Linked DNA regions of Coturnix japonica. The protein of the gene in region 2 interacts with the protein of the main gene of each other region in a pairwise test. Links are inferred from orthologs where the notes say so. Each region holds a gene or a part of one and is shown on either strand. Other genes may lie near its edges.

Evidence for each region.
Region 1: the proteins of LONRF1 (region 2) and ALAS1 interact in binary tests that used the Homo sapiens proteins (3 or more experiments, as listed by UniProt). The two-hybrid records come from large-scale screens. The link is inferred for Coturnix japonica from reciprocal best matches to the Homo sapiens genes LONRF1 and ALAS1.
Region 3: the proteins of LONRF1 (region 2) and STAU1 interact in binary tests that used the Homo sapiens proteins (3 or more experiments, as listed by UniProt). The two-hybrid records come from large-scale screens. The link is inferred for Coturnix japonica from reciprocal best matches to the Homo sapiens genes LONRF1 and STAU1.

The regions. Positions count from the first base shown.
Region 1 is NC_029527.1:1,772,083-1,776,478, reverse strand, and holds the start of ALAS1 (5-aminolevulinate synthase, nonspecific, mitochondrial), read right to left. Parts: upstream 2,881-4,396; 5' UTR 2,781-2,880; coding exon 2,594-2,780; intron 2,150-2,593; coding exon 1,952-2,149; intron 1,060-1,951; coding exon 904-1,059; intron 815-903; coding exon 592-814; intron 114-591; coding exon 1-113.
Region 2 is NC_029519.1:58,374,267-58,377,873, forward strand, and holds part of LONRF1 (LON peptidase N-terminal domain and RING finger protein 1), read left to right. Parts: intron 1-447; coding exon 448-569; intron 570-1,268; coding exon 1,269-1,427; intron 1,428-1,534; coding exon 1,535-1,697; intron 1,698-2,077; coding exon 2,078-2,230; intron 2,231-3,607.
Region 3 is NC_029535.1:5,664,266-5,668,540, forward strand, and holds the start of STAU1 (double-stranded RNA-binding protein Staufen homolog 1), read left to right. Parts: upstream 1-1,395; 5' UTR 1,396-1,554; intron 1,555-4,275. UniProt on the Homo sapiens protein: Binds double-stranded RNA (regardless of the sequence) and tubulin.

The sequences.
Region 1 (4,396 bases), on a different chromosome or scaffold from region 2:
CATCTTTTCCATGAAGATCAGCCAGTTCTTTTTCCAAGTCAACGTGAAATTTGCTTGTTCCTGAAATATTTCTTGTGCCTCCTGCTCCAGCACCATGTTGTTTCAGTGTATCCCTACAAAGGGCCCAAAAAGATACATCAGTGATACTAACATTCAACTGTTACAGAGATTAATATGTACTGAAGTACCTTCAGCAGTGACCCTTAAGTCATCTTAAAAGGGAAGGACTGCAAAAAGCTGCTGTTAGCTTTAAAGGTCTTCGAACAATCTGCATAACTCAGGGTTTCACTGAACTAAGGAATCAGTTACTGGGAATAGTTGCAACACACCATCCAGTCTAACTGGTAGTGGTTGGGGTTTCAGAGGAAATGAAGGGCAAGGACTGACAAGTAAATTCTGCAGCCCTGACACCAAATATGAAGTTACCTGCACTAGCTGAAGAGTGGAGCATAAGCTTAATTATACCAAGAATACCATCAGAAGCAGCTTATGTAGCATAACGCAATCAATTCTTCAGAAGTCTGCCTAGAGAAGCTGCTGCAGAGCAACCCCTAAACTGAATGCATCTCTTAAGAATGCAGCCCTACTCACATCACTGCTCCGCACACACGAGGGTGACGACTCATGCCCAGGTAATCATTGCTGCACCAGACAGACACCTCCTTCTTGGTGATCAGGGAGTCAGAGTAGTCATCTGCCATGGGAAAGATCTGTGCCTTTCGGTTCACCGTTTTGAACACTCTGTAGGTATGATCCTTCTTCTTTTCATCTATCTTTTTCTCAAAGAACTGATCATACTGGAAGGTGGATACAGCTGAAATGAAACAAAAAGACTTCAGCACACAGGGGAAAAAGGTAATCACAAGGGAGCAGACCTGAGAGGGTATTGCCAGATAGTCTTACATTTGGGCAAGTTATCCTGAAGCAGATGAGACACACTTTCAGGCCTTTGCTTCAGCATAATATCCTTAAACTTCTTGAGCAAGCCACTCTGCTCTTCTCCCTCAGCCTCAGTGTTCCTCACCACGGAATTAGTTGGTATTTTGGCAAATTCTTTACCTACAGACATCATAATGGATTACAGTGAGCTAATCAGTTTGAAATAGAGGTGTTTAGGTTGAATTTAGAGAGGTAAACACTTTTAACTAACTCCTCATTCTTTAGAAAGCATGCGCCTAGATCTACCCCTGCCAAATTAAGCCATTGCACTGGTCAGTCATTTGGATGAGAAAGGTTTGTTTCCCTTTTTGTCCCATACAACGCAACCACACCACCACATGTATTGCCTTACAACACATTTGGTTCACATCATGACTCAGAGCCCCATCCTACAGAGCTACAGCACTCATCTGAACAAACTGGTACATAGCTAACTGAAGGCAGAGTTCTAACTGGCAGCTTCCTTTCCACCTCCAGAACTAAAAAGGAGAAAACAGGCTTCCTTTTGGAGGTGTATGGCAAGGTTTTATTGACATTGGTGAAAAGTTTCTTCCTTGAAGGACAGCATTTCTGCACCAGGATTGCAAGTCAGCCAACACCCTTCAGTTCTACAGAATAAAGAGCTGCTGCTCACTTGCTTTCAAGCTTAGATTTGTAAAGCAGTATCCTGACCCTGTTTCTTCTCTATGTACCTACCACCCTCGTCTATAACAGCACTGTGGTAAAGCTCTCTTGTCCCAGCAGCCTGCTTAGGGTAAAAAAGAACCACTTCACACACTTTGAACCAGGGTATCAAACTACTGCATACAGGACTTCTGAATGATGATCACCCATGGCAATGACTGCACAATACTGCAGGCACACCATTAATACCTGCATTCTACAACTTTCTATTGCTATTTGCCATAACCTTATCTACATAAGGTATTCAATGACTGCTACACTTGGCATGGGGCAGAAGAAAATCAAGTACCAAAGGCTCTCAGAAGGAACCAATGCATACCATACATACCTTTCCTGTCCACCTGCATTTCCTTCACATCCTCCTGCAGTTCCAAGCTGGCTTTGCAGAAGACATTGCTGCTCTTGTGATTCATCTGAGCTGCCAGGAACGGGCATTTAGTGGCAGAGTTCTGACCAGCAGCAGCAGCAGGTGGGTGGCCAGCAGGAGGCTGTGACCCATCTGTGTTCTGCTGGGTTTTTTTGGCCTCTGGGGAGGGCAGAGAGAAAGGAAAGCAATTCGGGTTTATCATTTTAATAGCTACTTCAGCTTTTCTGCATACTTCTCACATAGCACAAGTCATTCAGAGTGACTTAACTGGGCATTCATGTGTTATTTACATAAGAAATGCTAATGATACCCAAGGAGGGGCTGACTTTGGATGCTAAACCCTGCACTGTACCCTTCTAAGGTTGAAATCCCTCACTTACCTTTAAGAGGGAGATTCCTACTCCAAACACTTCACCCCAACCCTCAGCACCAGGAGAGGCTCCCCAGGGTGTGATACAGCCCCATATGAGCCCATAGCAGCCTCAGGCTTTGGCCCCAACCCAGCTGTGCCCACAGCAGAGTCACCCCCACTCAATGACCGCTGGGTTTCAAAGCATTAAGCGACACTGAGCTAATGCACACAGCACAGCGGGGCCTACTCACCCGGCTGGGCCTCAGGGGTCTCCTCCGCCTGCTGCCCGCGGGCTGCGGAGGTAGCGAGGCCTCGTGGGACCGCCTCCATCATTTTAGGGCAGTGCTGGGCGTAGATGAGCAGGGAAGGGCCGGCTTTCTGCAGGAAGGCCTGAGACACCCGGGCCAGGAACGGGCAGCGCCGAACCACCGCCTCCATCCTGCCTTCCTCCTCCTCGCTGCCGCAGCTACAGCCGGACGGAAGTGACGTCACGCAGCTGTCACCTCACGGCGGGCGGAAGGCGAACTGCGGCCCAGCGCGCTGCGGACGCCCTTATATAGGGCTACGGGCACGCGCATGCGCACTGAGGGCACGTATGCCCCGCCCATAATGGGAGGGGCTTGGTGTGAGTGGGCGGAGCTTGTGCTGCGCTCCGAGATGTGATTGGTCCAAGTGAGGACACCGAGTGGAACAGTGGGGGCTATTGGGGACCATGGGAGACCATAGGCGGCCATAGGGGGCCATAGGGGACCATAAGGGACCACAGGGGGGACCAGAGGGGGCCATAGGGGGGCCATAGGGGACCATAGGGGATCATAGGGGGCCATAGGGGGGCCATAGGGGACCATGGGGGGCCATAAGGGACCATAGGGGATCATAGGGGGCCATAGGGGACCATGGGGCCATAGGGGGCCATAGGGGACCATAGGGGGCCCCATAGGTGGACCATAGGGGGCCCATAATGGGAGCCATAGGGGACCATAGGGGATCATAGGGGACCATAGGGGGCCATAGGGGATCCATAGGGGAATCATAGGGGAGGCCGCATATGGGGACCATAGGGGATCATAGGGGGCCATAGGGGACCATGGGGGGCCATAGGGGGCCATAGGGGTGCAATAACACAGCTCTGTTTGGTGGCTGAAGGATCCCGGCCATCACCCTGTGCCTCAGACCTCACGGCTTCTCCCCTCACTCCACAGCTGCGGTGCTGCTGGGTGTGGAGATGAGTTTTCACCCAGAGGATAGTGATGGCACTGGAACAAGGAGGCTGTGGGTGCCCCATCCCTGTAGGCATTAAATGGAACAAGGAGGCTGCGGATGCCCCATCCCTGCAGCCATTCAAGGCCAGGCTGGATGTGGCTCTGGGCAGCCTGGTCTGTTGGTTGGTGACCCTGCACATAGCAGGGGGTTGGGACTGGATGAGCACTGTGAGCCTTTGCAAGCCAGGCCATGCTGTGACTCTATGAGGAGCCCTCATGTGAACATGGCACTGCAGTGTGTCTTATTGTGACTTGTGTCCCCCACTTTGAAGTGAGCGTTTAGTGTTTTTTATCAGGGAATGCTTACAGGTGGTAACGAGAGAAGGAGCTCAGTGCAGACGTGGCCATCCCAGTGCTGTTGCTGTAGGGGATACGCCGACTGCTGAGGCGTGGGAGGAGGAGGGCAATGATGCATTTCTTCCCCCTATTGCAAAACCTTGGCAGAAGGCAGAGCTGGGCTGTCTGCTGGCTGTGCCTTCCCCAGCCCCCAGGGGTTTGTGTTACACTGAGCTCATCCCCACGGACACCTGCCGCAGCAGGTTCAATCCCACAACAATCTGATAATGCTGCTTTATCCTTCTTATCTTAATGGCAGCACCTCAGCGTGTTGCAAGGTTGAGGGACGAAGTGTGTCAGTCTGCTCTGCTGCCAGGATTCACAAGCTCTTGGTTTTGTATTCAAGAGTTTGAAGCCTGGAGAGCATCTGTGTTCTATTCGAACTTGATTCAAGGTTGGAAGCTGAGGCAGCAGCCTTGGCTATGGCACAGAGGTCTCCCAGCAAAGAAGAGCTCT
Region 2 (3,607 bases):
GACTAGGTTTGCCTCAGGATCCTAAGAGGTTTTATGCTTTTGTGATCACCTATATATATATATATATATATAAAAAAATTAAATCCTGATGATTTGTAAACTGAGAACTATTCAGTAAGACTTCCCCGTGGTTTCTATATGCTTTCCATATTTGTGTGGCTGTTTAATGAGGAAAATAAATTCTGCCTCTGTAAGTATAGAAACACATACTGAATTAGACACTAGAGTTGTTGGACTGTAAGAACTAAAACAGAATTTTCTGATAATAATGGTGGGGGTTAAGAAATGTAAGAATTTCAGATTTCCTGGATGTAAATCTCATTTGTAACATATTTCATGTATCGTGCTTAAAAAAAAAAAAAAGCAAAAAAAAACAAAAAAAGCTGATGTCTCAATTCTTTTATTAATGTATCAGTAAAGAAATGTGTTGTTTTAAATTGCTTACAGTACCTTGCAAGCAGAAAATACAGCATCACAGAACTACTAGAGGAATTAATAATGAAATATTTGTCTGATGAGCTTTATGAGAGAAAAAGAATTCATGCTGAAGAAACTGCTGAACACTCAAAGTAAGCTTTATGCCTTCTATCTAGAAAATCTGAGAAATGAGAATGGTTTTTGACCTAGACAGGCTTGAGCAGAGGGCCCAGCTGAACATCATGAGATTGGATAGAACCAAATGCAAGGTCTTGCACCTGAGTTGTGGCATCCCCTGCTATCAGTACAAGCTGGGGCTGAAAGGACAGAGAAAAGCTGTACTGAAAAGCTCCTGGGGGTATTCACTTCTAATGGAAGAATTTCTAGATATGTTTCTTTTAATAGTTATTCCTAGATTCTGCTTAGTTTTTTTTTTTTTTTCAACTAGTAGACCTCGCTGAAACATTGCAAGGGTAAAAACCATAGCTTGGGTTGCGTCATTTAACTTAATCTAAATGGTGAGCTGGTTGCTGTGCATTTGTTAGTTGATGTATATGGCATCAACTAAACCAGAAAGGAAGAAAACAAGAAATGCTCTTGCTCCCACGACAAGTTCTATATTCACTAACTAGATATTTCAGCTCGCTATCCATTACGTATTCAACTCAGTACATAAGTGTTCAGTCACTGTGTTCTTACTGTTAAATGAAATTATTATAATGTAGTTATTATTGGAGTTTGTAACAAGTGTTTTATGACTTTAAATACATACTGTTAAAAAAAAAAAAAAGTATTGGCATTGCTCTGTAATTATGTTTTAAGTCTTGTATTCTTTTGTCATTCTTTTGAAGCTTGACCAAGAATGTTCCAATGTTTGTTTGCACTATGGCATATCCTACTGTGCCTTGCCCTCTACATGTGTTTGAGCCAAGATATCGACTAATGATTCGGAGAAGTATGGAAACTGGGACTAAACAGTTTGGGATGTGTATAAGTGATTCTCAACATGGGTAGGTTTTACATTCTAATAGTAAGCTTCTTTTCTGCCTTTTTTAAATTAAACCAGCTGTCATCATAGTACTGTATAATTACATTACTGATAAAGTCTCTTTTCTAGTTTTGCAGATTATGGTTGCATGCTGCAGATTAGGAACGTTCACTTTCTGCCTGATGGACGGTCTGTTGTTGATACAGTTGGTGGAAAGAGATTTCGAGTTCTACAGAGAGGGATGAAAGATGGCTATTGCACCGCAGACATAGAGTATTTGGAAGATGTTAAGGTATCCAGAATGTTGTCCAATGCTTCTGCTTTTAGCTGCTATCTTAAGACTTTCTTTGTTTGTTTTGAGGGCTCTGTCAAATTTTTAGGTCCATAGAAACGTGGAGGATACAATGTCGGTATAAGGAAGAAATGGAAGATAACCTTTTTTAATTGTTATTATTAAATAAGAAGGAAATATTTTGCTTTTCATTTGAACAGTAGTTTGTGAAGCTGTAACTCTTAAGTATCGGAGGATTTCTTTACAATTCAGCCACTAGCAACCATGGCTTAGGAGAATGCAAAAACTTAACTAAATAGAGTTGTCTTTTTTTATGTTAGCTCAAAAACTATGGCAATTTTCTTCATCTGTAATGGTGTTTTCATAATGTTCCTTGCTAGGCTGCTGATGAAGAAGAGCTGAAGAAACTGAGAGAGCTTCACAACTTTGTTTACAGTCAGGCCTGCAATTGGTTCCAAAACTTAAGAAACAAATTCCGCACTCAAATTCTTCAGCACTTCGGGCCAATGCCTGACAGGGAGGAAAATATACAGGTGAGACATCACTTAGTATCAAATATCAGGTGACTGTTTTTTACCGGGGGAGGGTAGGTGTGGAAAGCCAAAATCCAATTGTTAAAAAGCTGCTAAACATTAAAGAGAAAATGCTTTTTTTTTCCCTCAAATTAAAGGGAAGCAGGACTTTATCTTTTCTTACAGAGAGCAACAAAAGACAGCTGGCAGTTCTCTTCTGCAATAAAGGATGATAGGCTATTTTATAAATAGTGTACTGATAATACTTTCAGTTACAGAAATGTTCTGAACTGTTGGTTTGTGCAAAGTTGTTAGAATTCAAATGGAGAAAAATAGGAAGTGTTTCAGTATTTTCTTTCCTGTGATGTGTGTAGGCAGTAATCTGGGACAGAGGTAATCACAAATAACACTTTCCTCCTTTTGGAGCTAGTGCTGTAAATTGCTGCAGATGCTAGAATTTGGCAAATATTTATGTTAATTTTATGGAACTGGCTTCAGCCATCTGTTTCAATGGTTATTGTAAACAATTGAGGAAGATCAGAGAGATCCTCAAGGAGTGGGGTGGCTGGAAAAAGTTATCTCCTATCTACTACATATTTTTATGAGACCGTTACTGATCTTGGAAGGCTGTAAATACATTGGAGGGCTTTCAGAAATGATCTTAGAACATTTCAATTAAAGACTGGTTTAAAACAACATACGTTAGCAAAGAGGAGTAAGTGCACTCAAACAGAATGACTAGCTCGGCAGCAAGACTGAAGGTATGTGCCTAAGACTTAGACCATTAAGTGTCAACTGTGTGATGAAGGGAGGAAATTTCATTCAGGGATGTACCATTGCCAAGGCTGTTCTTGCAAGTATGTGAGGTAACTGAGGTATTTCTGCACTGCAGTGATTCATCCTCCACTGAGAACTATTATGTCCTGGGCACGATGTCTCAGGCTCCATGTAGAGAATGAAATAAAGCATAGGGAAAAGCTGCAAAGTGTTTTATAAAGTTAGAAGAAACAAGCTAAGCAGTCCTGCTCTGTCTAAAGATAACAAGGTGCAAGTGGAATGCAGTAGTAATAGAGAGTCCCTCAGACGCACCAAAAGATATATGCAATCAGTGTTGGGCATCAAGAACATTCAAACCTGAAGAGTAATGTGACAGATATGAAGTTAGTTTGCATCAGGGAGGTTTACTAGGTGACTGTCCTATACTTGGCCATCCTTTCCTAAAGAAATTGAGATGCCTGCGTTGTCTTGAGAACAATCGATTGCTTTATCAAATGTAGCTTAAGTGCATTTTATTTATAGACTTCTGAGGCAAAGAGGGATCAGAATAGATCAATTCAGAACCCTCTTGGTCTTACAGATCTGTAATTCTCTGGTCGATATCAAAATTCAAACCAGCGC
Region 3 (4,275 bases), on a different chromosome or scaffold from region 2:
AGCCTCCTCCCCCTATTCACTTAAATGAAGTAATTACTGCCTTACTGTGACTTAGAGGAAATGTGGCTGTAAGGATAGGCAATAGCAGATATAACGGCTTTAAACCAGTTTAGTATCACCCACAAAAGGTAGAGGTCACAGTCAGATAATACAGGAGTTGCTTACCCAGTTTTCTCTCAGAGTAATGAGCCACGTGAGGTCAAAGCTTATACTGGACTTAATGTTTTGTATTCAAGATGAGATTAGAAGTAAATACGTTATTATGAAGTAATTAATAGGAAGCGAAGAGCCAGATAAGCAAAATGGAGGGGGTTTGGCACAACTCCGTGGGATATTGAGCTTAACTGCGTTTTCATTTCCAAAAGCTGTGAAGAGAAATTCACATCCCTTTTATTTCCTTCCAACTCTCACAAGTTGTGAGCTGCAAACAGGCCTCTATCCTGACCCAAAGCTGCTGCACTAAGAATGGAAATAAAACTGAACTTGCAGTGAAATAGTTTTGTATTTCTCTCTCTTCCCCCAACTCGCTGCACAAAAAGCTGTTAATGTAACAGACAACATTCAGCCTTTACAGTAACAGTTACACAATTTCACTTCCTTCTGAAGTTTAACTGTTGCTTGAATGGGATCTAACAGCACAGATGATGCAGCAGACCTCAAGAACATCCAAGCAGGTGTTTGAATGTGATACGGGATATATGTGTCTGTATAAATGGAGAATGGTTTGTAACTGCTACGTTGTCAATTGATGTTATGTGTATCACAGGTTTTCTTTCCGGTATCTTTGGAATCCATAGCGGTATTAAATACACCCATGGATATGAAGCTTTAGATCCGTTCTTGGGTTGTGGTTTGTTTCAGCTCAGTGGGTACTTGTGATTCTCAGCACTGAACATGGAGGCTGTTGTGCTTACAGTGGACTGAAGGTCCATCTGTCAGGTTTGTATTGCTCTGGAAATGGCAGAAATTACCATCATGTCACTTAGTGACACCACAGGGTTTAACCTTGTGATTTAAATTGTGTTTTTAACCATAAACTCGTGATTTAAATTGTGTTTTTAACCATTAAGAACGATAAAATATTCCTAAATCACTCAGTGCTCGCAGTGTCCCTTCCTGCCATATAGGCCTGACCCTGCTCTGGTGGTTGCAGTCCCGGTTGAGCTGTGCCCGCGGTGCACGCTGGGAGTTGTAGTCCCACACACACAGCCGACCTGCAGCTGTGCCGCGAGGCACGCCGGGACTTGTAGTCGCCCTAAAGGAGGCGGTGCTCCCGTCGTCCCGCGCTCCCATTGGCCGAAAGCGCGGAAAGGGGCGTTTCCTTTGGGGCTTTGAGCGCTTCCGATTGGCTGCCCGCCTCCCCCGCCTCCCGCCTCGGTGGCGTCACTTCCTCCCCGGCCGGAGCTGGCCCCGCTCATTCTCTTTAGTGTTTGCCCTGTACCCGCCGCTCCCTCCGCCGTCGCCCCCCGGCCCCCCCCGGGACCCGGCCCATGGACTGAGCCGCCCGCTGGCCCGCCCCGCAGCCGGCCCGGGAGCCGCAGCCCAGGCAGCCAGGTGAGGGGGAGGCGGCCCGGGCTCCCCCCGGTAGCGGGGCGGGGGGTGGCGGCGGGGCCTAGCGAGGCCCTGGGGAGGGGCCCGGCTCCGCTGTCCCCCCGCCCCGCTCCGGGCCCTGCCCAGCTGAGGGGGGAACGGGCAGGTGGCGGGGGGGGCCGCCCCAAAGAGCCGCAACGGGAGCGGCCCCTGCCCTGCCCGCCGATAACAACGGGGGGATCCCGGTAGCACCCACCGGGAGGTGACAGCGGGCGGAACGGCGCCTGCCCTCGGCCCGGCCCTGTCCCGTTTCAGCGTGTGCGGACGATGGTGACCGCCCTCGGAGCGGGGCTGTGTGAGCCGGGGGCTCTCGGGGTGCTGCTCCTCAGGAGCCGCCCGACCCCTCCGGTTGGTGTCAGCACAGCAGCCCGCAGCCTTCACCCCGCGGACATCGCGGCGCTCACCCCTTGGAGGCGGTGGGCAGTGCTGCTTTGCTGCCCGCGGGCCCCGTGCTCTCCTATGGCTGCCCCCCGGTCCCGGTCGGTTGCAGTGATGATGTTTCCCCGTTCCTTGCTCTCGTCACGTAGTTTCTCAGGAGCCGTGGTAGCAACAAGTTCTTGTCGCATCCTTATTGCTCTCTGCCCCGTTTGTGCTCTGTGTGGGGTGGTGCTGTCGCTGGGAGCAGTGACAGCCGCTTCTCGTCGATCTGTATTTTGGGGTGGTTTTTTTTGGGTCCATTTTCTGACAGGTTAAAGGCAAACCTGGAAGAACGTCATTGGGAATTGATAGGCAGCGAGGTGTATCAATAGCAGTGAAATGAGATACCTGCATGGAAGGCCCCTGCCTGCTTTTAGGGCAGTATATTTAAAGAAGTTCTTAAATCCTACCGATGACACACGACCTCAGTGCGCAGCTGCTCCGTCCATGCTGACAGATCATTACTTTCTAAAAACCTTTTCACAGTGAGTTTTGACGACACAGCGATGGCTGTGATGGAGCAGAGCGTCCCTGATTTGTCCATTTATCATCTTGCAATGAGATATCGTGGTACCAAGCAACAAATCTGTGTGCTCAGACTGCTCTGGAGGTGGTAGCTGTCATAACTTAAGCAGATGACCATCACATCCTGGTGAAAGCTTTAGGATTAAATAGTTACAATTGTTTCTGCACGTACCTTTTTCTGATATTGGCTCAGAATTTCATTTCAAAGCTGCTCTGAAGTGTTTTATCACAGAATCATAGGACGGCCTGGGTTCAAAAGGACCACAATGATCATTTAGTTTCACCCCCCCCTGCTGTGTGCAGGGTTGCCAACCACCAGAGCAGGTGAGATAACAATTCTTTGTGATTACTTTAAGTAGACTCTTTCAGCAGTGATTTGTTCTGAGGACAACACGAACTTTCACAAGTGTTTAACATTGTGCTGTCTGGAATCCTTGCTGGGGTTCCTTATTGTGTGAGAGTTCTTGGAGATGTGGCTGGAGCCACGGAGCAGATCTGTGTGTGGTTACCATGTGAGCTGTAATTAGTAACTGTGGCTCTCTGACCTGTCGTACTTCTGGGAGCAGCAAGCAAATATGAAGTGCAGCACCCAGCTGGAAGCAGCCATGTGAGTGAGCGTTCATCTTTGTTGGTGATCACCTCATCACCTTCTAGTTGATTCTCTTGCACTGTTTGGAGCTGTCTGGTTTATGTGCACATCTGTCAGCTCCCTTCTGCTCCTTCAGGTTTTACTTTCAAGTCGTAGCTCTTCATCAGCTTTCTCTAATTCATGACCCGTTCCATTGCTTCTGAACTCTCGTGTCTTATGGAGTTTTATCTTAGAAAGAACAGCAGCTTTCTCTTCAACGAGTGCTGGTTTTGAGATGGTCCTACCCAGATGCTATAGAACAAGATTTGTTGAAGATGAAGGCGCTGCTCAGCTGTGTTTTACGTGCTGTGTAAATAGCCTCGGGTCTATAAAGTTTGAAGTATTGTTTATCTTTATTGGTAGAGTGTATTTATTTACAGTTCAGTTGTAAATGACCAAGTGTTGTTGATGCTGTTACAGAAGCCAAGTGCTTTAGGATTTCATGCTATATACACAGAGCTACTGCTGTGCATTTTTGAGATCTATGTTAGGAAATGAACCATCTCAGCAAACCTGTTGGAATTTGTGGAGATGTGTGTTGCCCCCAAGTGAGTATGCAACAAAAGAAGGAGGTTCTGCCACCATATCTGAGTTATTTAAAGTTCCTTTAGAAAAGGCTGGAGGAATGGAGTTGTTCTGAAGGGTATTTTGCCCAGCAGTGATGGATGCACAGCAGCCTTCCTCAGTCTGAAGCAACGGGTGGCAGCGTGGCTGGACCAGTGGCTGCTCTGCTGTAGGTGACCGTAGGTGTGTGCTGGGCTGGGCTGCCCCAGTCAGAGAGTGCAGTGCCAGAGGGGGAGGCAGTGAGTGCTGTGTATCCCATGGGTCATTGTTTTGGTTGTCTGGATCCCACCTGGGTACTTGCATCTCTTGGTAGAGTTCAGGCTTGGGCTTTTTTTGGTCTCTGTTGAGTGGATGCATTTCAGGGAACCGTCCTGCTTGGTGAACAACCTGTCAGTAATGAGGAAAATGAATCACCTTTGCTCTGCAACTGAAGGGGCAGCAGCTGTTCAGGTGCCTTGTGTTGTGAAACATCCCATTTCAGAAGGAGTTTTTTTGTTTAGATCCTTGTTTTCTGTAACAAAACTCTTTCTTGGTTATTGTCTATGACACAA